Drosophila melanogaster: one gene and its partners. The protein of the gene in region 3 interacts with the protein of the main gene of each other region in a pairwise test. Each region holds a gene or a part of one and is shown on either strand. Other genes may lie near its edges.

Evidence for each region.
Region 1: the proteins of Pdk (region 3) and CG10943 interact in a two-hybrid assay, tested with the Drosophila melanogaster proteins (one large-scale study listed by BioGRID).
Region 2: the proteins of Pdk (region 3) and Gbs-70E interact in a two-hybrid assay, tested with the Drosophila melanogaster proteins (one large-scale study listed by BioGRID).

The regions. Positions count from the first base shown.
Region 1 is NT_037436.4:12,858,643-12,866,611, forward strand, and holds CG10943 (uncharacterized protein), read right to left. Parts: upstream 4,279-7,969; 5' UTR 4,170-4,278; intron 4,116-4,169; 5' UTR 4,077-4,115; coding exon 3,150-4,076; 3' UTR 3,075-3,149; downstream 1-3,074. Other genes in the region: CG32107 (uncharacterized protein), read right to left, coding at 1-2,087, 2,156-2,642.
Region 2 is NT_037436.4:14,545,402-14,554,528, forward strand, and holds the start of Gbs-70E (glycogen binding subunit 70E), read right to left. Parts: upstream 5,575-9,127; 5' UTR 5,136-5,574; intron 4,759-5,135; 5' UTR 4,689-4,758; coding exon 4,597-4,688; intron 2,082-4,596; coding exon 1,716-2,081; intron 1-1,715.
Region 3 is NT_033778.4:9,422,197-9,431,240, reverse strand, and holds the start of Pdk (pyruvate dehydrogenase kinase), read right to left. Parts: upstream 4,803-9,044; 5' UTR 3,992-4,802; coding exon 3,868-3,991; intron 1-3,867. Other genes in the region: prel (preli-like), read right to left, coding at 5,599-5,994, 6,326-6,640; CG13955 (uncharacterized protein), read left to right, coding at 7,619-7,914, 7,973-8,275, 8,363-8,585, 8,665-8,823. UniProt on the Drosophila melanogaster protein: Inhibits the mitochondrial pyruvate dehydrogenase complex by phosphorylation of the E1 alpha subunit, thus contributing to the regulation of glucose metabolism.

The sequences.
Region 1 (7,969 bases), on a different chromosome or scaffold from region 3:
ACCGAGTCGTAATCGTTTTAGCCAACTAAGTTTTGTTACTTCAACAAGCTCTAAAAATTCCAGATTCGAATTATCCAGAATTAAGGATTGAAGATTACCTAAAACTTTCAGTTCCTTAAGAAGCTGCCACAGGGATATACCAAGAGGATTATCGATTTGCAAGTCTGTCAGATTTCTGAGCTGAGATATATACTCGATATCTTTTATATGGCTAAAAACGCATTCGAAGGATTGCAAGTCCTTGAACAGCGACACCAACCTAAAGTCCTGAGATGCAAATGCAAGTGTTCTTACCTTTTGAGGATACTGCAAGGCTATAGTGTTCAATAAGTTCACCGCATCTAGTGTATTGTAATTAAAATAAATTTTTAATTCCTTTAAGTTCGGCAAATTGGCCAAGAGTGCCAAGTTCGTGGGAGTCAATGTGCCATACGATTGCGTTAAAAAATTAAACTGAGCATCCAAGGGATCTTCATCTGTCGCAGTTATCAATGTATGAATGTCAGTTTGATGAGTTTGGTTCTCATATGTGAATGAAACCGGGGCCAGCAGACACTTTTGACAATAGTTTACGAATGCCTGATTTTTTGTATCTTTTAGTTGCTGTTCCCAATATTTTACTTCGGGCAGACCGAGCTGAAGGCTTTCCAAGGATCTTATGCCAGCAAGGTGGCCAACTTCTTGTTTAGTAAGTTTTGCATTCTGAATAACGAGTCTTTTGAGTACTTGAGGCTGCTTGGATTCCAGGACAGCGAACAACTCTATCAGAGATCCCTGCGGATGAACGATAAGTGTAAGCTCCTCCAATTGCTCCAAGTTGCCAAGTTCATTTATATATTTTGAGCAGAAGAAACCACTTTTAAGTATCCTCAAGCTTTGTATCTTTACCACCTCTTCGAGTTCCTCTGGGTCAAGGAATGCAGTTTCTAGTTGCTGCAGTGTGTGTTTATCCAAGGCGGCCAAAGCCCTAAAGAGCTCCACCAATGATCCGCTCATAAGTTTTCCCTTTATCTCCAGACGTTTCAAATTTCTTAAATTGGCAAGAGGAGCAAGGATACTCCCATAACTCAGGATGCACTGTACAAAGAATTCCAGTACGAGCGTCACAGATTCGTGGCTATGAACGAAACGAATATTGCAAAATTCGGTTTTAATTTTATCCACTCGATTTGCGGTATTTGTAATCTCATTAAGTTGCTGGAGTTTAACCGCGATTATTTGCTCTATTTGAACAAATGAACATCGAATGGTGGTAAGCGTGGGTATGGAAGCCAGTACGGCAAGTTCTGCATCGGAAATCGATACCTTTTTATTGAGCACAATTCCGGTGATAGAGACCGAGAATTGTTCTGATGAATTGTGCATTGTAGCTGGTAAAATCTTGGCATCATACCAGCCTATGCAATAGAGACGATGTGCATGCAAATAATCTTCATCGAAGGCCAATTGCAATAGATTTGGATCTTTGGTCTGCCAATATTGATAATATGCACGCACGACGGCTAACGGTCTATGTGCCCTATAAGTCACTTTGAGAAAATCCTCCTCCTTTTCATTGTAATACGGATTGTCTGGATTATATTGCATGGGGTGACCCAGAATGTAGATATGAGTAAGTTTTCCGCTTAACGGCAAGTCCGAATAGATCGATTTATCCCGCAAACAGCACTTAATTGAAACCACTAAGCGAATGGATGCCAAGGCGATGGCCTCTGCATTGCTGACATATGTTTCCGGGATACATATGCTCTGGATGTGCTGGTGTTCTTGGAAGCGATTAAAAAGCTTCACAAGCGATCCCTCGAGATGCTCGCCACACAGAATTAATGACTTAAGTTGCGGCAAATTGGCCAGGGCTACGTACTCGGATGCATCTACCTCTTTCATCACAAAGCTCAGATATTCCAGTTGATTGCAATGAGGTACTATATCCGATAATCTGCCAAATATTTCGGAATTCCTTAGAATGAGTCTTCGTAGGTTTGGATTCAGTTTACACAGCTCGACCAGGATACTGGAATGCATTCGGACATTCAGCTCTAGTTTTTCTAGATGAGTGATCTGCGGCACGATCTCAAGGCTGAATCCTAAAAGCATTGATTTATTGATTAGTTATTCTTTTTTTTAAATTTAAATTTAAAAAATTTTTATCTACCATTTATGTAAACAGAGAGCTCCCTCAGTTTTGGCTTGACATGAAGCGATTTTATGAGGTCCTCAAATCTTTCCAAGTAATCACTCCAGTAACGTGTTGGTTCGTAAATTACCTTTAATGACTCCAGTTGTTCGTTATCCATAATGTGATTTTTGAAATTCATCCAGAACATTTTCTTTTCACTGTTCGACAATCCATAAATGTGCGAATGAAGATTTGAGAAATTAATCTCTACGCATATGTACGTATTGAGGAATGTGTTTTCAATACACAGCTCCTTATAAAGATTGAGACTCCATTTTTTGAACGTTCTGTTGAGATGATCACAGCAAATAGCAAAGTTTATAAGATCACTGTACTTTAAAAATATATCATTGGTTTGCTTGAATGCGCAGTTTTTGTGAATTTGACGAAATATTTCATATAAACAGTAAGGATTTAAGTTAAAAATCGTTGTTTTTTCTTCTAAACCAAAATATTCCATCATCGTTTCAAATTTGGCGCTAGCCATTCCCTCGAACAGCTAATTCTCACTGACTAACCGCAAACGAAAAAAGGTTTATTTTGGTTATTCGGTTATCTTGAATGATAAGCTGTCAAATGTAATAAAAAGCAAATTCTCTGGAACACCTTGTCTTTTGTATCAAAGGCTAGATAATACAGCTCACATTTTTTTATTGTTACTATTACCATTATCTAATTGTAAGATAACCATTTATTGATGAAGTATTTGCACTACAGATTAGCAATATAAAAATAGGGGACTTCCCGAAAAAATCAACGACCGTTGAATTTTTTATAGTAAATTGAATAATGGGGAAATATTTAAACGTATTTGGGAATAGCGGTTTAAAGGACCTTTTTTCACGAGGGTGGCAGCACCGTCGTCATTGAAATTCCCGCATGATGGCGTCCCCTTGCTGACATAAAGCTGAAATGTACAACATTCTTCTTTGCGATATAAAAGTATATATGTTTTATTAAATAAATTTGTTTACAAAGCGTTGGAAATTTGTTGACCCTCTGATGGTATAAGTTTATGGGTTTCTTTCACTCTCTCCTGATTAGATTGCAGTTTCATTATGGTAGCAGCTTGATCGTTTAATAGCTCATCCTTTTCCCGCGTTTTACAAGTTTCCAAATTTAGACCCAATTCCAAATATGTGATTTGGTCATCTTTTTCTTTAATCTGTGCCTTATGATTTGCTATAACTTTTGAGTTTTCACCATTTATTTTATCTTTCTCCTTTATTTGAGCCTTGAGTGAAGTTATTATCCCTTTATTTTTTTCCAGTGTTTCGCTTTTTTGGCCTATCTGATTTTTGAGGGTTGCTATAAGAGATTTATATTCTTTCTCTTCAGAAATTATCCTACACATTTTAACGCTTAGAGATTGGATCATATGTTCGTTTTCAATATTTTTACTATCGCTTTCTTTCAAACGAGCTTCGAGTGTTGCTATAAGATCTTGTTTGTCCTTTAGCTTTACATCATTGTCGCCTATCTGAGACTTTAAGGACTTAATAAGTTGTGAGTTTTCTATTTCCGTTTTAGCCTTCTCTTTAATCTGCGCTTCGAGGGAAGAAATAAGTAACTTTTTTTCCTTTTCGCTTTCTTTAAAAAAAAAAATTGTTGATCTTAACTTTGATTTATTTTTGGTTGTCTCAAGATCTTGGCTAGAGTTTAACTTCGCTTTTCTTAAGGTTGACAATTCCTCCTCTAGTTTTTCAATTATGCTTGCCTGAGCATCAAATCTATCCTTATAATCTGATTTATAAAGGTTGTTAGACATTTTTAAGGCCTCAATTATCTCGTTTTTGTCCTTAATTTTATCGTCAAATATGGCCAACTTTTCGTTGGCAATTGCCAATTTAAATTCCATGTCTCTTAGCTTATTTTCAAGTACCATTTTTAAGTTCATTTTCGGTTCATCGAAATCGTTGCAGTCACAATAATTCGCCTAAAAAGATAAATGCTAAAATTAATGTTCTTCAAAAAGAAATACTATTTATACCTTCGAAAATGATTCTGTGTCATCTGAACTTAAATGCAATATAGCGCTTTTACTTCTTGAATTCATAGCGATAGAAAATATGTAGACCGCATTGGTTGGTAGGAAAAAGCGAACTGAAAGGTTCATTTAGGTTTTTTTTCTATAATAATCGAATATCTCCTGGTGTTACTCATTGCTTTACAATAATCTAATCAGGAGTTTGATTAAATATTGCACACTTGATAAGGTATAGCCTCAAAACCTCGGAATTGATTGAGTATTATTTTTTTTGCCCTGCAATCTCACAGCTTTTCCACTTTCCCAATTTTATCATATAAATGTAAATGATTTTTTATAAGAATTTTGGATTTTCATTAATTACGAATCCAGATCGTGGGTAACATGTAAAATGAATACAAATTGAATCAATTAGACGGCATCCGCTTGGAAATGAAAACCAAAAGATAAAGTCTGGGAAAACGGGGGCGATTGCTTCGGCCAAATACGAATTAATTTATTCTTTTCCATGTTCTTTTCGGCAGTTGGCCGTTGTAAAATCATTTTCCATTTCGCTGGCGTCAGAAAATGGCAGGAAAACAGGTTAAGTCGAGAGGACAAGCAGGTTCAACAACAACAACAACAACATCAACAAGGTAGGCAATTAAATTTATTTTATTTCTCCTTCCCGTTTCGTTTTTAAGTTTCTTAAGCAAGTGCTGGAAATCGTAGACAACACTTTCGTTTCAGGACGAAGCGGAAACGATAGGCAAACTTTGCTGCACCAGGATACGCAGCCCCTCAATGGCCCCGCCCACTTCCTCTTCCACTCACTCTTCGAATCCGTTGCTTTACATAGATAGCGGAAATGCTTGGCCCTGTTTTCGGGCCCTCTCGATTGCATATGCAGCTACTTTTATCGATTGGCTGAAGTTTGCACTCCTTGCCTATATACATATATTTAGGCCTCGTCCTGCCAGCTTTTGGTTCCACCTCCAACGCAATGTCATTGTCCCTGGTCGACTATTAACCCCTTCTGCAGCAATGACTATGGGGCAAGTACCCTTGGTAATATTAAATAGTCCATATCCGGGGCCAATGAACCGCAGTGAAGTGATTAGGCCCTTGAAGTTATCATTCAAAAGTATTGAACTATCTAGAACCAAAACAGGACTTAGTTTTATTTTTACCTTCTTACCTTCCAATAATACTAATTCTTCGATTATTAGTTTGATAATGTATATTGGCTCGTTTAATTGGCCATTCTAATATATACTTTTATTTAATTATTATAAAATATTTAGGAATATATTTTAGAAATATTCAATAAAAGAACATTTCTTCATTGAATGATTGTATTTCTTCTAGTGTTATAGTTTTAAAGAAACAATGTTATTTCTGTTTATTAGATATTTATTATAATATTCTTAATATTGATACAACTTGCTTTACATTTTCGCAATGTCTTTAAATTGAATTGCAAATAAAAAGTAGTGTTTGCGACTTCAGTTCACCCTTGAGAACTTTCCCTTTAGAACAACTATTTGCCGACTTCTAACGACAAGTTAGTCTCCTTGGTAGTCGAATTTTGCACCACATTCAGTATTTTCAGGCGTGAGGGTTGGGGTGCTTCCGCCACATAAATTTCCATCGAATTGGGGGTCGAAAGGATGTCGAAGGGGTGAAGAGGGGATGCGGGGCTGGCTGGTATCCGGCGGCAGAACGACGAAGCACGATTCGCTGGGGCAACAAAAACAAGAGTGGAGCCAAGCAGAAGAGCAGCAGCAAACTACTTCTAATAACGACAATCAACGCTCTTCGGGTTGTTTGGGTGCTGTGTAATTACATGACAGCAACAGCAACAGACAACAACAACAGCAACAACAACGGACAGCAACAACAACAGCAACAACAACAACAACAAAACAACAACAACTGCAATTGCAGCAACATTACGAATTACGATAATAATTTCCATTTCTAATTTCCTTGCCACGCAAAAGGCCTTTGCACTTGCCGAGGCTGCCAAGCTGCCGAGCTGAACTGCAATCAACCACCCACCCAACATAGAACATCCTCCGACATCCAGAAAGTGACAGCACCACCCACCACCCAACACCACCCACTGCCCTTTTTCCGGCAACAACAGGCTAAACAGACGGCCAAAAACACTTGGATAAAAAATACGATAAAAGGATATTAAGGGAAGATGAAAGATTCTTTGAATTAATTTTGTAATATTACTTCGATAATTTGATATATTTAATGAAAGCAAGCCAAAGAAATTCACTTTCTTAAGAAAGTTATATGAAGTTATATAATAATATATATGTACATAAAACATCTATGAAATTTAATATCAATGCAATGTAAAGTATAAATTAACATACTTTGTAGGTTACATAAAATAAAATTAACTTTATTATTCATATTAAATAATGTATTAAGTCTAACGATACCTACTTTGACGTATTAATAATAATAATAATAATAAATAAAATTCTCGTTTTGTTTCAGTGTACGCAATTGGCGAACGCTGGTTGAGGTGCTGGCCGTCGAGCCAGACGTTGGCATAATTTCGATGCAGAAATCTAACAGAATGCAAATGCAATCATTGACTTTTTAGCTTATAACGAAATAAGCGTCGTGTTTATTGGTTGGCTGAACGAGCACCAGCTTGGAATCTACCCCCCCCCCCACCACCACCGCCACTACACCGACCCCTCGCCATTATCCATCGCCTGGAAAAGTGAGGAAAATAGGAGAACATTGCCGGAACTGTGGGGAGTGCACTTATAAATTCAAAGCCTCGGCGGGGCTACTAAGTGGGTGGTGGTAACAACGGGTGGTTCCCGAGCAGCCGCAACTAAGAATTTCACACAATCTAAGCCTAAGTTGGCCAAAGTGCACAGACCAGATGTAGAGAAATTTGTTGTTGTTCCTAAACCATAAGTACTGAGTTACATAGAAGCTATTTGCAAGATACTAAATTTATATTATTATAGATTAAATGCTAAAGCTCTAGAATTAAACACAAACGGTACTTGAATCTTCAGAAGAAAAGTTATTTAAGAGAGAAGTAGGAGTAAGCTTCTGATTTCGCTTATATATAAATAAAAACTAAAAAATAAATACACAAATAAATAAAATAGTAAATCTTAAACTGGCGCTTAACTTAAATCGCTGTGCTCTTCTTAAATTCCGTGAATTATCTGGTCTAAATCTGCTGATACGCATAAGCCAAGTATATCTGGGCCCACACTTTGGCGCTATCTGCTCGACTTAAATGGGCTGAGCTTTTCACAGTGGCAGTGGAAAGGATATCGAGGATATGCGTTGTCGGTTGTCATCGGGCAGGTGGAAGTTGTATCCCTTTTTTCGTCTCACTTTTTCCAGCCCAGCAACCGCAGGAGCCGCAGAGCGAAATTTTCTTTTATGCCGCCACGCCCAGGATCTCCAAGGATTTTGCCATTGTTTTTGTAATTTGATAATGCATTTGATTAAGGAAATGAAATTTTTATTAAGGCTGTTTGCTCATTCGCGTCGCTGGCATCGCGCCTTTCTTTTATGATTTAACCACCCAAACCCCACATGCCATACGTGCGTGATGCCTTTTGGCCTTTTTCCCTTCGCATTTTCGCCATTTCCCACTTTTCCCCCCTTTTTTCCTGCGCATTTTCCCTAACACGGCAGTTTTGTTTTCACATAATTTCTTTGAGTGCGGTTTGGATCTGGGCACTTTTACGATGCGCAAAAAAAAAAACACAAATTGGGCGGCATGCTACCTGGCATTCCCACTTTCCCCTCCCCCTATTAGTCAGTCG
Region 2 (9,127 bases), on a different chromosome or scaffold from region 3:
AATTGTGTCTTTTATGAGATGACGCCTTTCGCTTGATCACGCTTCTATGCTAATAATTCTTCGGCCTTGACGTGAACCGTCTGCCTCGTTTTGTGGTTGATCTTGATGATTTTTGGGGAGGCTAATTAAGACAAAAGAAAGATCTTTCATTGGCTGTCAAAACTCATTGTAAAATGTGGGGCCAAATGGGTGACGAGCAGATGCGATATGCTTTGGAAGGTGATGAATAAGGTCTTCAATTCTTAAATCAAGCCTCCAATAAATATAATTCTTAATAATTTTTCTATTGCATTGCTTTACGTTCTTGTGTTAACTTAAATGAATTATAATTTACTCTGAAGATTTGAATTGGTAAATTAATTTTTTCCCAGTGGATTTCGTAACTGATAAAACGAGGCATACAAAATACGCAACCGCAAAGTGTACACAAAATCTCCAACAGCAACAAGCACACGTCTGGTTTACATTGATAATATTATGGTTAATTGCATTCGTTTGAGTAGCTGCGTAGCTTTAAGCCTGATCTCTTGTCTAGAGACGCAGCCCAAATAGAAATAGTGTTCGCATTTGACGCAAATGAACGTATAAATTATTTTCTCTATCTCGTGGCATATGTATTTTTAGGCATTTCTCAAAATGTCAGATTCAAGTGCAAAAAGGAAATTATTTCTAGGGCTCGTTGAAAGCGAAATATACATATGTATACAATTTTACAAAATATCTGCGAGACATCGATAACCCAAATATTTTCATGGCCTGCACATGAATCGATAATGTATCTTCCCTATATATAGCGAATAAATGGAAATGGAAAACGAAAATAATGGCGCCTCGCTGTTGGGGTCTATACTAAATACCAGTCTATTCCCATTTGAGTCTTAAAATGTGAGATTTTTTATCTCAGATATACGAGATACAGATTCTCGACTCGCGATGCAGTGGCGTGTTTTTATTTTGGCTTATTTCTACAGTCATTTAGATAATTTATATTTTGTTTTTGTGAAATTGCATGCTCTTAAAAATATATAAAATATATTTTCAAGTATATTTCATGATCTTTTTGCATTTGTTTAGCCTGGCGGCCGTCTGCAATTGGCTTTCTCAGCTTATTTAATAAATGACATGTGCTCGGCTATGACGTCTGTGGGAAAGTTGTTCGACTGCCAACAGATTTTCTTATTCCTTTTACTAGAACTATTGCAAATGTCTTATAAACGATTAATCTTTGTTTATAAAATATTATGGCGGAAGTGGTATTTTCGCAGTTTTATAAGAAATGATCTTTTCACGTTCCAATTTTTAGAACCAAAATCCTATCCTCCCCATATTAAAATTCAAAGATTTAAGTTTGAATCATAAGCTTTCGATTTCTTTTTGACCACAGTCTACATAGTTAAGATGCGCTATGAAAACCATCTACAGCTTCTTGTGTTACTTTCTCGGACTTTCCTTAAGATTTCCCCTCAATTGACATCTTACTATTTAATGAATCTGTTATAGGTTGATACACCCAATTCTGACCACAATTACCCAGGCTCTCACACCACTAAGTTCCCATCTAGTTCAGTTGGTGGTTTAATAAGTGCGGCGCCATAATCTTTGAAGGCCTGACGTCAAAGTGACTGAGTCCGCCGGCATTTACAGCCTTCTTGATCGTTTCGGCGCCGCTGTATCGAGTTACCTACATTACGTAATCTTATCGCCCGCACACTCACCTCACTTCGCCGTTGCTGTCACTATCCTTGCTGCAGATACAGCTATGACTGGCACTGTCCGCGACATCGGTGTCCGTCGGCGAGAGATCTGCGGAACTGGCTGTAGTGTTCTGGGATTTGTGCAGGCAGGATTTGCGGCTGAGACAGGATTTGGGCTGATTGGTGAGTAGCGGCGCCGAGGCCATTCGCTCCAGGTAACTCCGTCCGGAACGACTGCCCACGCCCAGGGGCGTGGCACCCGCCTTCTGCTGACTGGGACCCTGACCCTGGACCGCCGCCGAGGCGTTGTTGACCATGGCTTTGGAGGCCAGCGTTATCACTTGGGGCCGGCAGTAGCGCGACGCTCTGTTGGGCTCGTCATTGTAGCTGAAACAAGGTATGCAAGTTTAATTGGTTTATTTTTGTATTTCAAAACTTAAATTAATAACTATAAAAATGTTTCTTAAAATAAATTTATTTAATATTTATTTCATAACTTAATTTCGTTACTATTCTGTCCTTTTAAATGAGTGTTGAATTCGTTCAAAAAATCAAAAGGTTGAATATCGAAGGTTGAATATATCACAATCAGTTAAAATATATATCTCTAACACCACTAATTGAAAATATAATTTCTATATTTAAACATCAGCAGATGGTAGCCATCTTTCAATTGTTTTGACCATTTTTTGTGATTCTTTTTTCGTTTGGAAAGCAGAAAAGAAATTCCCAAGATCAGTCTTTTATTTCAAGCATCTACGCATTAAGCTGCCTTTTATCAGTCCTGATAAGAGTGGTGGCTTTAATTTTTACTGCCTCAATGCCTGCCTTCATTGTTCGGAGGCCCATGTACTACTTGTATTTGTACTTGTACTTGTGTAGTCCTACTGATACGTGTATATTGTCTATAAAGAAACATCGCTGATAAGAGGAGTTGCGCGCGACCTCCTCACTTAATTCGGGTTTGCCGTGGGTGGGAAATGTATAGTATGAATATGAAGCATATTTGTTTGGGTTCTTCAGTGAGTCATTTCTAAAATTGTATAGTCGGAGAGACTCGCTGGTCTTACTCATTTGGCACAGTTCACATCCCATTTGTAGTTATCATAATTTTTCGGCTAGACATTCATAAAACTAAAAGTCAATGGTTGATAAGGATCGTTCAATGGGGTTCGCGTGGACTTTTGCATGCTAAACATATGTTGACGGCATGCTGATACGTCTTTTTCGGCGTGGGCCTGGCTATGGGAACATTTCCGTCTGCTCTGCTGTTATCATCAACTTTTTTTGGCTAATTGGCGCTGTCTGGAGACAATATCAGCATATTTAGTGCTTGAGTTGGCAACCAAAAGAATTCAATCATTTTCGATGACGACCCGCCCAGTTACGTGGGTAGTTCTAGGTATTGGGTGGGGTAAACTGTTGTAAAATCACGCTGTGAAATTTCAAGTGAGTTGACGCATTAGCAGCTGAGTTACTTGAGTTGGTTGGAGTACTCGGTTTGTTTGAAGGCATGCCGCTCACGTGCCCCGATAAGAAATGTTCATAGTTGTAGGGATCGCAGTAGGGCTTTCGCATGTATTACCTCCCACAGTTTTATCTACTGAACCTCTTTAATCTTAACTGATTATTTAGTTTTTTACCGGTTCTTGTAGCGTTTGTTTTGCTTGGCCATACTCTAGATATAGATTTATTTTTAGCTGAAGTCCTCATATATACGAATATAAGTTATACGAATTTTCGGTATTGTATATTTATCATTCCCAAAAATAAAATACTCTCAACAAATATGATGAAAATGCAGCGCGTGCAGCAAATGAAGCACGGCAAATTGCTTTAATTCAATCAATTGCTCTCGCCTCTGTATAAATATAATATATAGATATTACCCTTCTTCCCTTTACCAATTTGTCAAATTTTCGGCTTGCTCGTGTGCCCCTGAGAAAAAAAGTTGCGTCAAGCGCCACGCGCAAATTGTCGCCAAGCAAATTTTTGGCGTCACCCCCACGACTCGTGAACGAATCTTCAAATCTCAGTTGGCTCCACCAGCGAAAGATCACCTCAGAATCGGCGAAATGTTTGTTTTGGTTCAGTATTCTGTCTTGCCTTGATCTTGAATGCTTGCTTTTCATATTTTGCCAATCTGTTGTTGTCAACCAAAAACGAGCCTTAGCACGAATATTTTTAGTACCTGCATTCATTGTGTTTTCGAATAGTTCTCAGGTTTTAATACTATGTATTGGGTAAGACATGTTTCCTGCCTTTGATCAGGTGTTAAAATTTCCATAGACGACACTTGAAACAGGTGTTTCATGTGAATCAATATGGGCAGCCCTCGAGAGATCGATAATATTCCTTTTCTGGATTGTGTAAACAACTGAGTTCTTATATTCATTAAATGGAATTACGGCATTCCGGTCTGTTTATTTTGTTAATGTGGGTTATGTTTGGGTATTTTGAAATTTGTTTTAAATTTGAATGTTTAAAATTATTGTTTAAATATTCGCCAGAGAGAACGCCTAATGCAAAAGGGTATTAATCATTTTTATCTGTTATGTATTTTTTATCTCTCAGTTTAATTCATTTACTATCACATGGTTTTTCAGGTTATCAGACATTTATATCGTTTCTCTTATTAACACGTACACCACTTGTTAAATTCATAAAAGATGATGCATCAGAAAATGCTTCTAGTTCCTTATCAATCGATAAGAAAGTTAAAAAAATATTTTCTTTCGACATGAAAAAACCTGAGAATTGGTACTCTTTCAATGATGTTTGGCTATTTAATTTGTTTTGATTGGCTGCCGAAACTCGTGGATTCACTTAGAGCAATTCTGTGTTAAATTAGTCCAATTGCTGGCTATATTTATTTATGAGTTATATACTTTTGTAAACTTACTTCAACGATTGACGGGGATGTCCGCTCATGAAGTCCGCCAGAAAACTAACGGGTGGACTGTGACTGAATATGGGCGGACTGTGCGAAATCATTTTATATATGGCTTCGATCTGCGCTGATTACAATGATCTCTACAAACAAGGAACTTTGGTATGGAAGCCCCTGTGGAAAAATATAGAAAATTAACGATTTGTTTTTGTTGCTAATCGAAGCGCGGCAATAAATGAACGTTTAATTGGAAAGTAATGTGTAAATAGAATGCATGATCCGAATATATAATATATGTTTATGAAATTTCATATTAATTGCTAATCTCAGGTGGAATCGGAATTAATGATGGTATAATATAGCAATACCATTTCCATAAGAGATAACATTCGAAACGTTGTTAGTTTGGTCCAAATGCATGTTAAAATCAGTTTGATTCGAAACAAGGTGATGTAAATGCTGATACCCAAAATAATAAAATGCCCCCCTTCTTATGTTTTATAAAGTTTTTCATGATATGTTTATTGTGTAGTTTTAGCTTTACAACTAACCGTTAATTGTTATCTCCACTCTGTTTTCCGCTTCACTTTTGACTTCTGGCTAGGAGGTAAGGAACTTTTCTTTTTCTTGTGCAGTCAATCCACTTTAAATTTTACTGTGATCTTTCTTTCTTTGATCTTATTTAAATTTTTACTTTTTCATTTGTACATCACGCGTGAGCGTCAGACAATGAAAAACGATCGTTGGGACGGAACCTTAATTGAATTTATTAAAATCCTCCGATCGGGGCACTTTTTTCGTGGTCACACACACAAAACGACGAACGATTTTTAATAGATTTTTCGCGGACTTTGCTTAAGTGTAGCTAAATTTTCTTGTGTCAATTATTTAACACGGACAAAAAAACAGCAACTAGTTTCCGTCGCGTTCCCCGCTTCGTTCCGTTCCTCCTATGAACCGTACGCTTCGACGATGCGAAAACGAATGAAAATGTTTGTTGCTGCAACTTGCCGTTAAGACTTGATCGGGGCGACAGAAAAAGAGAGAGAGAGAAAAAGAAAAAGAGAGAGATTGGTTGTTTGAATTCCCTTCCAAGACATATAGACATGTTAGTGGAGCGTTTGTAATGTTATCAGAATGTTATATATTCAAGAGGCCAGTATATAAAAACAGAAAACAGAAATAACAGTAAAGCAGAATAAAATAAAATCATCCCATTTTTACTACTAATGAACGACCACATAAAACAGTTAAGTTTTCTGCTCTGTTAGTACTTTAAAGGGTATACATAATTCAGCGTTCTGAACTCGCGTTAGGTTTCTAGAATAGCCCCGGTCTCTCTCTCACTCTCTCTCTCTCTCCTGATCGACGTGGCTTGCATATTTTGATTGCATTTTGGTATTCCGCAGTGATTGTAGTTGTGGTTTCGATTTAGCGTCGGTCCTAGTTGCTTTGATTAGTTTTGGCGCCACTGGCGGTGACAAAAGTCAAAACGGGTGTCAGCCCCTCGAGACATGATCACATGCACGGGAAGCATCCCATCTCCCAAAATCAAATTTCCCACTGAGCCTCGTGGCGCTCAAGTGAATTTCAAGGAGTTTGGCAAACACTTTTTCCGTCTCAGCTTTTTAAATATTTATCTTATCGAAGTCGATAGGTTATAGCCTCTGGTCTGTTCAGTTCAATATTTATAGCCTTACGAACTAGAATTGGTATTATTAGTTAAATTGTTTTTTATTATAAAAGATATTTCACACACAGATTTATAAGGGCCTCTTCCGCACTCAATTGAATATGGGACATTATTCACCACTCGACTCATTTGTGAGTGGGTTTTGGTTTTATGTGTCTGCCCACGCATTTCTTTTATGTGAGGGTGCTCCCCTGACATATGTAAATCAATTAGGCCTTCCATTAGGGTCTCGTGAATGAGACACTTTTAGTCTATTTTCATTGCTGAACTTATAAAAAGCTCTTCGAATTTAATCGATTTTGGTAATAAAAAAGGAAAATATGCAACTATATTAATTGAAATTTTTTATAAATAATAAATACTATAAAACCTAAGTCTATGTCTCAAAAAGTACTTTATCTGCTTTGATAAGTTATCAGCTGATTATAAATGCATTCGTATTAAAAATAGTCCAAGTCATTAGTGATTATAGCTTAAAATTCCTCATCAATCCCATAAAACTCGCGCGTAAGGCCATTATTAAAATAGAAATCAACACCTAAACCTGCGTAAGAGGCTCAAAATTTCAAATACTCAACTAATGAAGCATTGAAATTGATTTTCCTCGTCGCTTTTTCTTTTCCAATCTATGCATGTAGAGTTCAGGCCAGTTTCGACCCACATGATATCTGTCGTACCCACATCAAAACTGTCCCAGACAAGCGGAAACCGCTGAATGCAACCAAGTCTGCTCAAAAATGCAGTCTCAGGCTCGACTATTCGGAACTCGAAATTGTGGTTGGGCCTCCTTTATATAGAGACTGTATATGTATTTGAGTTTTATCTATGCTCTATTTTTGGTGTGCGTGCTCGGTGTACATTCACTCATGGCGGTTCGGTGCATAGGCATGGACATTCGAGTCTTTTTCTTTTTTGATCAGGGAAATGTTTTCGTAATGCCTGATTTGAAATCACATCTCGAAGCCCATGATAATGCAACTCTCTGAAGAGATCACGCTTTTTGTCTCTCAAGAGCCTCAACGACTGTTAAACAAAAACGTACTTTGAATGCGCACTTTCTTCATTTCTTCTTCGACTGCCAACGCAGCATCCCATTGAACCTCGCTGATGAAGGGGGTTTCTGCGGACAAAGGGGTTTCGAAAGGGGTTAGGGGCAAAAGAGCCGGCCGGCTAAGTTGCTTGCCTAGTTGAAAGCCGGTTTCGAGAGATCCCTGCGTGCATACAGAAGTGGTTACTTGAGTGCCTCGTTGCAGTTGCCGGTCATTTTTATCGGCATAGACCAGATGAGATGGCACAGGGGCGTAGTATATGTACGTTATGGAGACTGGGAATTTTATCTCAATGAAGAGCTTTTCATTTAGATTTGTGAAAAATTAAGATATATCGTGATGGTGATTAAACCATTGAATAGATAGGTTTCACTTACATTGGCACCCATTTTCTACTTCCTTGTCGTCAGGAATGCCCTATACCTTTTTTCAGGGTGCATTCAGGCTTCCTAATTACACAACTCTCTTTTTTTGCTCTTATATGCTATTATTCAGCAAGATTTCTCTCTTCGGTTGCACTTGAAATTGCATTTTACCCCCTTCTTTGTTTGCACCCGCTGGCAAATTTAGTGGCACACGCTTTTTACATAAATATGTCTTGTCTATTTCTGTGCAGATTTTCATATTTTCTCATGCATGTATCTTGGGGATGCGGTTGTACTTATAGTTTCCTCGGTTTCAACGGATGTCGTTGGGGACATTTTTCAATTTATGCGAGCGACTTTCCATTTTTCACTCGATTAAGGTGTGTCCCCATGTTGCTGAATCTTGTTAATTATATGGTTAACATGATTTTAACTATTATTAAAATCATTATCATTATTTGATGTATTCAATAATTAACTTGCCCTTCTATGGGGCTATTTATTCTATGGGACTATAAAAAATTTCCACACGTTATGTTTTCATATTTTCAAAATTCAATTTTTTAAAACGCTTCAATAGAAAAACGGAAATTTTGTTTATTTCCAGCATGCCAAATCATTCACCAGCTGCGTGAGCCTGATCCAAAAGAAAACATACAAGTAGCTCGCCAGATTCACACGCCCAAAGTGGAAAGGTACCCAATGTCTAGACAACTCGCACAGCAATAAAAAAAATTAAGTCAGGCAACTCAGACTGACTCAAAGCATAATTATTAATTAAACATAGAGACACGCGTCGTGGGCCCACCGCTAAAAAACGTGCAAAACGGCTGATGAAACTGGCCGACAATCCATATCAGTCGAACCACATTATTAGCCATTGGCGCTTGGTTATCAGTTTTTGTGTAGGCCACCTGATAGCATATTATATAGTATACCGCATAGTTTCAAAATCCCTCTGGCGGTGATTTAAATTTAGATTGAAGAAGGCGCGCGACTCACGTACGATTCTTTCGCCTTATCAATGCAGACAAAAGTCAGGACCAGCAGGGAGAGATCAGCACCCGAAAGTGCTGATAAACTGCGCAGCATAAACTTAAATCATAAATTTAGAACTGGTTTATTTTTGGAACGCGACAGAAGACAGAACGCCGCAGAGTGATCAGCATGCCGTAACTGACCTAGAGCACCTGATCAAAGCGTGATCGCGAAATAAAGAAAGAAGCCAGAGGCTGCGCTATATATTTGGCTATATAGTGCGATGCCCACTACCCTGATTTGTTTACTTTCTGTTGCGTTCTTATAAATCAAAATGAGCCATGAATGCGAATTCCTTGAATCTCTGTGCAATAAGCAGGCCAAGATGAATACATTTCGAATGAAATATAATACTACTGATAGACCATATAGATTTATACTATATGTCATACAAATCC
Region 3 (9,044 bases):
AGCTTCGATTGCTCGTCGCCAAAATCTAATGGCCACAATTCGCCAGGCTAAATTAGGATTCCAGATACAACGCAAAAAGCAACTAGATATACATATATGTATACTAGACGTGGCTATGCCGAATAAATTGGACTGGAACCGCTTTATGAGTCAATTGTAACGAATTGGCCAAACAAAACAGAATCAATAAAACGAGTTATAAAGACGAACATAAATTCGGAAAGAGAGGCGATAGCCTGATGATATTGTTTTCAAGAACATGCCAGAAAGCGATCGCAAACGCGAGAGATCTCCGCTCCGAGATACAGCTATCAAAATGTGCTCGAAAGGGGGAGGGGGGTGCGGCAATCGCCCCAACACACACGCGCTTCGTTCTGCCCGCTCCGCCCCCCAAACGCTGGGGCGGCGCAGGTGACCTCAAAACAGAGCTTTTATCGCTTTGTTTTTGTTTACTTGTTTGCCATTTTGGAACCGCTCTACGCCCTATCTCTCTCGCTCAGTGTATTCACTTGTTTTGACTGTAGTGTCGGGTGGTAAACAGAGCAAAGAAACCTCCAGACTCGATCGGATCGTCAGTCATGTAGAAGCGTCTGGCACTCCACAATATGTATTTAGACTTTGATGCATTGCTCTTGGCTGATAATGATAAGGCGCACCCTCGCTTTCATCGGCGATAAATTCGCAGTGGCGTTAAGTGTCCTAATCATAAGTGCCTTTTATGCACTTAGATAATTGCCCGCTATAAAAAAAGGAAGTTAGTTTAAGAGGATTAAAGATTAGAAGTGTGCTAAGTAAGCACTCTTCATATTTCATTTTGATTTTGTGCCATTCAGTTATTATTTTATTAATAATCAATAGCATTGAATAGTTAATAACTACGTGCTGTGTATTAGCCAAGCTATTAACAAATTTGTGTGCCCCAACAGGTTTCGAAAAAAAAAAAAAAAACGATGATCTAAAGTATTCAATGGGTGTTATGTAACAAGAACTTAGCTGCTAGTAGGCGAAAAACTGTTGCGTGTTCTAGCAGTGAAATTGAAAACTGGCCACCGCACGAATTCATTACCGGAGCTCAGAATCGACAATGAGCTGCGGTTTCAATTCCATTCCCATTATCAGTGTGAGCCACTCAATTGGCGATACAGGCTAATTGGGTCGTTAATGTTGCATTCAATAATTTACAACGCATTTGGCACGCAATCAGCTGAGCAAAGGCGCAAAGAAATCCAATTTCTGAAAACGACTCAATCGTCCACTCAGTGACCCCCTCATGCAATTACATTAGAATGGGTGGAATATCACATATGCATCTATCTTTAGACCAACTGACGTCACACAGCTGGCCCCTCCTCCAAACCATGACCATCCCCTTTTTTGTAAAACAGCTGTTCGGTCGATTCGCGGAGCACAGCAATTTGACTCTTGAGCTGCATTAGCCCACCCCACCCATTGGCCCCCAAATGCGAGGAAGAATTTGTGTGAAAGTCTTTCGAATACTTTCGTATGTATATTTGACTCACATTCGCCCTGTGACAGAAATACAAAAATACGGCGCGTGTGACTACGACTACGTCTTTATTATTATTATCGCCGGGGTGCTCACTCTTCTTCTGGCCATTCTGTTTCTGTTTTTATTTTGACCAAGTGTTGACGTGCGCGTTTCTGCCTTTTTTTCCGCAAGCAGTTCCAAAGTTCAGGCCCGAATTGTGGGCGAAATGAGGTGACAGCATCCTGGACTTTGCCCGAAATGGTCACGGTGGTCTGATCCATCGAAATGCATCCATTATACAATATACTTTTGAATTGTCTGACGCTGTGTTTTCAATTTTCCTAACCCCGCATTGCCACAGATATAATTGTGGCTCTTTGTCGCCCGGAGAATTGGCACATGATCAACCATGATGAGGTTCCAAATTGGACACCCTATATATGCCATAAGTATTATATATTTTCTATTGATATAAATTCTTGGCCTTCGGATATTGTGAATTTCGCATAAACAATATAGCCGAAAAATATTAAAGACTAGTCTGTATAAAAAACGAGGCTCGTCACTGAGGCGCGAATTTTAGAACCCTCTTTCCAGTTCTTACACCCCACTCACTCAGTCCACGAAGCGCTAATCGATGGTTAACCTGAATTATCATAAACTCGGGTGCATTATAATAACAATGTATGCGCATATATAACACCGAACCAATAACAAGCCATATTCTATAGATATAAGCATAATTACTCCAAGTTTATGGACCCCCACAAACGGCAGAAAAACACAATTAAGTGCCGGGTACAGTTGGGTACAAAACAAGCGCACAAAGCAGCCTTATCTACAGACCGACATCAAAGTTCAAGTATAGGCAGGTATATATTAGCTATTTATTTATACCCCTTCACCGAGGGGTGCTGGCCTATTGGATGGCCATAAATGCTTGTAAACTAATTTAGCCCATTTTGTAGCCCATACCAGACTGACTAAAAAAAAAAAACAAAACAGGAAAAAGCTCAGCACAAGTGGTCTTAAAGGGATAGAAAACACGCGCAAGCAAAGCCTGTTGTTTTGGTCTAAATTTAGATGATAATAGCTCAGCCTCCGGAGGCCAACCTTTTTCACATTTTCCTCCTCTTCCAGCCGAGCTACTTGGCCTGGCTTTTATTTCTGCTCACGTCGCATGCCAGTTTTTCAACGAGAATGCCCTAGAAGTTAGCACTCGAGTCTGCTGGTTGCACAGCAAAAAATTGATTTTCGACTAGAGCAGGTCTGAAATGAAAAGGTTATGTGGAAACAGTATCTAAAGGCATCTGCTGCCGTTTACTTTTATCAAGATATAATACAACTTTTAGAATATACACTGCAAACACAGTTTGACTTCTCTGGGGACAGAAGCCACTCGAATTGGAGAGTTGCGTGTTCTTTTATTGGGGCAGGTTGAAGCCGTGGATTTTGGAGGGTGGTCTGTAGGGGGTGTTTGGTTGACATTGAAACGTCATTGAAGGCCACGTGCCGGCTATTGGCGCTCAATGAAGTGTGGGCGGAAAAAAGGCGCCTTGCTCGCGCCCATTCTCGTGTTTCATTTTCATTGACGAAACTTGTTTATGAATTCTAAAACACGGCCTTCTCATAAACAAGTTGAGCTATTCTGACTTCCGTTTTTGCAACAGGCGGTTGGCTGGGAAGCGGATTGAAATGGAAATAGATGGCAAGGGGAGGAGGGGTTGGGTCGAGGAAAAGTCAAAGCTAAGCTGAATTGAACTGAGCATTCAATTGTTTATACTGCCTGGTTGTGTCTGCCTCTCTGTCTAGCGCACAGTCGACAAAATAATAGATGTAGATGGAAATGCTTAATTGACAATTCAATGGAACGAAATTGACTATTAGATAACGGGATATTTGCGCAGTTTATTCTAAACTATAAACGAAACTTTAGACAACATGAAAATGTTGCTCTCTACATAAAAGGTCTGCCTATTATAGCTTTTCTATGTCATCTCGTTATGCAACACAGATGACGAATAATAGAAAACAAAGGGAAGTAAAAAGTGAGTTAATATTTCCCAAAACATATATAACATAACATACACTTTAGAGAAATATATTAAAAATCTATCGTAAACAATTAAAATTTTAATCCATTTTCGAAGCGAACAACTCAAGTGTTTTAATCGCTTTTGGAGGCAAATCAAAACAAAGTGAGTGTCAAACTTTCCATAGAAACACGTTCACTAGGCAATCTCTATAATATCAATCCGATCCTCACCCAAATCAACATGTACGATTACTCAATAGCACTTAGATAAGATCGTTGAAATATATATGTTATAGATGTATGGAACACCTTGGGTTCAAGAAACTGAGGCCCAGTTACTCACCAAAGTCCATGAACTGCTTTATCGAGAGGGGCGAGGGGTTGAAGCCCGAGTAAAAGTCGAGCATTTTGGCCAAACTCGCCATCGACGAGGAGGCGGCTGAGAATCGGACTGGAAACAGGCGCATGTTGGCTATATTTTTCTGGTTCGCGGGGGATTTGGGTGCTGATTACGTTTGCCGGTTGCTTTCGCTGTGTCTTTATCTTCAACAACTTTGTTTGCCACTTTTAGACCAGCTTTATATTATTGTTGAATTGCGGTGAGAGGGAAGAGGAAGATGAAGCGGCTGCCGGTGTCCTTTCGCTCACCTTCGCTTTTATCGCGCTCTCGCTACCCTTCTCACTCTCTTCGCAGGACGTTGACCGCGCTCTCGCTTTCTTCGAAGCAAGGAGGCGGGGCGGAGGTGTTCTGGTTGGCGGGAGGTGTGCGACGAAGAGCGGCAACAACAGCTGGCAACGTCTTGAAAAACTCGAAAACTCTGGCAGTGTGCGCTCAATAAATCAATGGAGCGTTCTGATTAGTTTTAACCATACAAAAGCGGTACCAAAAATATATATTTTATTCTATATATCTTTTTTGTGTTAGCTCTGCTCCACGTTGTTGTTGTTTTTGTGTTGAAAGGCGGGGGCGGCGGGGCGCAAATTCTTTCTCTTCTCCTGGTGCGCCATAAACGCAGCCGATTTGTACGGTATTTGCTTCGCTGTGTCTTTTGTGCACTTTTGTCTCGCGATTTCAGCTGCAGTTCTTCGTGCGATTAACTATACTCGCAGTTATTTGTTTTTGCGCGACTTTGACGCGAACGGTTGGGAATTCGGATTAAGAATGCGACTCCAGGTGGCTCTGGATTCTCCAATGTTCGAAAGAACGCCGATTTTACCTAAAAGCTGCGAGCGCTTTTGCGTGGGAGAGCCGCAGTGTTGGAAACCAACGGAATTGCGTCACGGATCCGGTAGCACCGGGCCAGCTGACTTCTGTATAAAATATGGCAGCCTTGGTTATAACGAATATTTGCAGAGAAATAATTTAAAACCAATTGAAAAATATATACAAATGAATCAAATAGTACGCATTAAAAACCGATTAATATTAACAATTCATTATAAACAAGCTTTACTAAAAAATTAACCGCCCATAACAATAAAATAAAATAATAAAAAAATGAATAGATATTATAAATATTACATAAATTGTATAATATAAATATTATAAATTCTGTAAACATAAATTCTTTTATGACTAGACCCAGTTCAAAGAAACAGCCGTACATTTCTAACAGACTAAGTTTATTTTAATAACTACACTTTTAACCACTACAAGTGTTGGTTTTCTTATATTTTGATAAAAATATACAACATATTACATAGCAATACCAATTTTGACACGGCTTTTCATTTCCTGCTCTTGACCTAACAGAATGATACATAATAATGTAGTGCAAATAAGTAACGATAAATAATAGAATTTGGTAGCATGCAGGAAATGTGTTCAGCAAATTGTGTCTCCGTTCAGATCAGCCGTTTGATTCGCGCACACACGGAATGAAATGCAGCAAAGTATGTAGTTGGATTTGCTTTGGAATAAATGTTTAAAAACACCCGGCGACACGACTCCTCCGCTCGTCATTCTAATTCCGTCCTGGTCAAATCCACAAACTCCTTAACTCCCGGAGCCGAAAGCATTAAAATCTTCGGTCCCATTCGACATCTATTCCAAAAAGTACAGACTAGAAGTTCCTCAGTTCTTGACAGAAAACAGTTGCGCAATCTTGGAGGCATGACTCTTGAAGAACTCGTAGCCCACTTTTGCGGCGCTCTTGAGAGCTCCTTGGTTGTTGAGACTGCCGTTTGTTGTGGATACGGTGATGGTCGTTGCAGGAAGTTCTCCAGCTGGCGAAGTCGTCGTCACCGCGTGCTGGTGATGTCCTCCACCAACCAAACTGTCCGGAAACATGCGCCGCAGCACGTAGTTGAATCCATTGGAGGCCTTGTTGCCATTGGCCTTAAACCGTTCGATGCCGAAGGCGCGAATGGCCCGCGAGAATCCGAACACCTGCGAACTAATGTATGCTCTTCGCACCGCCAGAGTACTACCATCCTTCTGCTCGCTGTAGACGACAATTTCATCGACTTTCTAAAAGGAAAAAACAATGATCATTAATTAGGATTAAATTAAACTTGAAAAGATTAAGTAACATATTTCACATATTCACTAAAAGGGTGCAGTAAAATAAATCGAACAATAATCTTAACCGGATCCCGATGTTCTGTATGCGTTTCATGGGTTAAATATAACAAACAATGCCACAGCATTGACCATCGATCTGTTAGGTAACACTTATGCTTTTGTATTATGCCGGTATTTCGGTCATGCCCAACAGCTAGTGGCTGAATTCTTCTAGACATTTCTTTAAATTGATATGTGACCTATTTAAAGCAATCGTAGTAGGTGTGCGATCACTTGCCATTATCTTGGTCATTCCCAGGTTCCTGGTGAAAGTGGTGAATGTCTTTTTAACCGGGTCCAGCACGGAGTCCTCAACAATCTTGACCGGCACATTGTTGTAGAAGCGAGCTCCCCACTTCGGCACCGGATTCGTCTTGGAGAGCAGCCGGCGCGAGAAGAGCTTGCCATCGCGCACCTCCCGCTGAATAGTGTCCTCGGTGAGGACGTGCGTGCTTGAGGGATTCGGGTAGCGGTTCCAGTAGGCGACCACCACGTTCATCCAGCTGTAATCGAAGACCGTCTCCGTGCGGCAGGTGGATGCTGCCACGACCATGTTGAAGGTGGACCAATGAACTCGCCGATGTGTTCGAAAGTGAAAGCCGCCGTGTCCCTGATCTGAAAAATAAACCGATAATCATCAATAGCAATCGCATGTTTCCGGCTAAAAATAGATCGCCGAATCGATGGACGTACCTTTGCGAGGGGGTCCAAGAACGGGGGTCTCTTACGGTTTTAGAGCTCCAGAGTGCAGTGTGATTGGCACCAATTAGCTGGCACACGTTGATTCAGCTAGCAGCTTGTTGTTGCCCCGACTTTGGGCGCCTACTAAGAATTTAGTTGTGTAACTGCGTCACAAACTCCGGCACAGGGTGCTTCGGGTTCGTTACCTTCAATTTCTGGCAATTTGCTGGCGATATCCCTCGATTCCTGCGTTGCCTCGACCTTCAGTGCCCCCTTCTCCTGTCTGTACACGGTTTCATTGCTTGCTTTCCAAGGGTTTGCTGCCAATTTGGATACAATTTACGCCTGTTCAAAGGCCATCCGGAAACATCTGGTCGCAAAGTTGCCAGATGGTGCGTGTGCCAATAATACCACAATTTGCATTTTCCCAACTATTTAGTATTTTACGTTTGGTTTTGCGCCAAAACGTTTTCTTTTAAATTTCACTTAAAAAATGTTTTTAAGCTTTCAATATTAATTGGCAAATATGACAAATGTTCTTGAAATAACTTAAATCAAAGGTTTGCCGGTATTTTACTACTACATTTACTATGTTAAACTAATAAATTATGAATTTATTGGATGTTGGGTCATATCTAGTTTTAATTAAATATTTAATTATTTAAATTTCGAAAAATAAAATCTATTATTTGAGAAATAGTTATTGCAAATATTTTATTGCTTAAAAATTTATAAAATTAACTCACAAATAGTTGTCATGGGAATTTTTGAATTGTGCGGTGCTTAGATACCAGAAAACAATCAAAAGTTCACATAATTAAGTACAATTAGAATAAAGAAGCTCAAAAAAATGGATGTTGTGGAATTCCTCACACGAACCGATAGGCGCAATCTAAAATCTCAAATAAGTTTCCAGGTGGCGCAAAAGATGCACGAATGGCACGCGGATTTGGACAACCGTCGTTGGAACCTCTGTCTTCTTCTCCAAAAGGAAGCCTTGGAGGCGGATGAGCAGATTGCAGAGATGCTGCAGGCGCAGGCGGATGAAGCGGATCGAAAGCGACACGAATGGATCGAAATGGAGCGATTGAAGCGGGAGGAGGCCGAAATGGAGCTGGTCAAAGTAAAGAAGCAGCAAAGGGAGATGTAGGTTTTGAGTGTAGAATTTTAAGTCCTTTTCCATCTGAAATCACCTCACTTTCAGTGAGAACTCCGAGGCCCATCGTCACATGCTAACCAAGGAGATCCTGCTGGAGTCCAAGCAAGCCCAACTCCATCAAATCGAGGAGAAAAAGGCGCTCAAACGCCGCCAGGCCTGTGTGGAGATTCTTTGGCAGCGCGTCTGGCAGAGATTGGACGAAAGTAAGGCCCAGCAGGAGCAGCATGAGCTGAAACTGCGCAACTTGATTGAGAACAGGTGCCAAGCCCACAATCTAGACACTGATCGGGAGCAGAAGGCCCAGTTCGCCAAGGAGGTGTTGGCAGACCAACGGGAATGTTCCCAGGCGTGAGTACCAGGTTCCCTAGAGATTCAGTTAGTTAATATACTAATCGAATGGATTATGTTGGTAATCCAATCAACTACCTTTCATAGCCTGGAACTGGCTGCCGAAATGGATGTGCTCAAGAAACAAGAAGATCTGAAGAAGCTCAAGGATAAACGGCGCCAGCAGCTCATTGACTTGCAGGATCAGATCAAATGGAATCTTACCATCAGCGCTCGGCAAGCACAGGCCAATATCCGTGAGGATGTGGGCTACAACATCCTCGAAGACCGCCAGATTTACGAGGAGCTCATGGAGAAGCGTTGCGCCAGGGTGAGTTTGCATGCCCGCCTCCAACTGCCTTTCCTCTTAGTCACAATGCCAACAACCCAACCCCTTCTCATTGCTCCAGATTCACAATCGCGATTGGCACCAGCAGTACATGACGCACACGGCTGCCGAGCGAGCTGCTCGCAGGGAAGAGGATCTGGCACGGGATCGGAAATACCTGGGCACTGGGTGTGTGCTTGGCCAGCAGCCGAAGCAACCGTACGGCAAGGAAGTGCGCTAGTACCAGTGGTGGACACATCGTCATCGCCATTGCCATCGATCGATGGGCACGCACTCATGTCACGCCTCACATTTGAATACCATATTGCAATTATATTTACGGCTGATATAAATCAAGCGATGGCGGCGATAAGGAAAAGCGTATCATGCACGGGCGGCATAAAACCAGTGATAATGCCCACCATCAACGTCACCAGGGAAGCTGACCAGGCTAACCCCAAC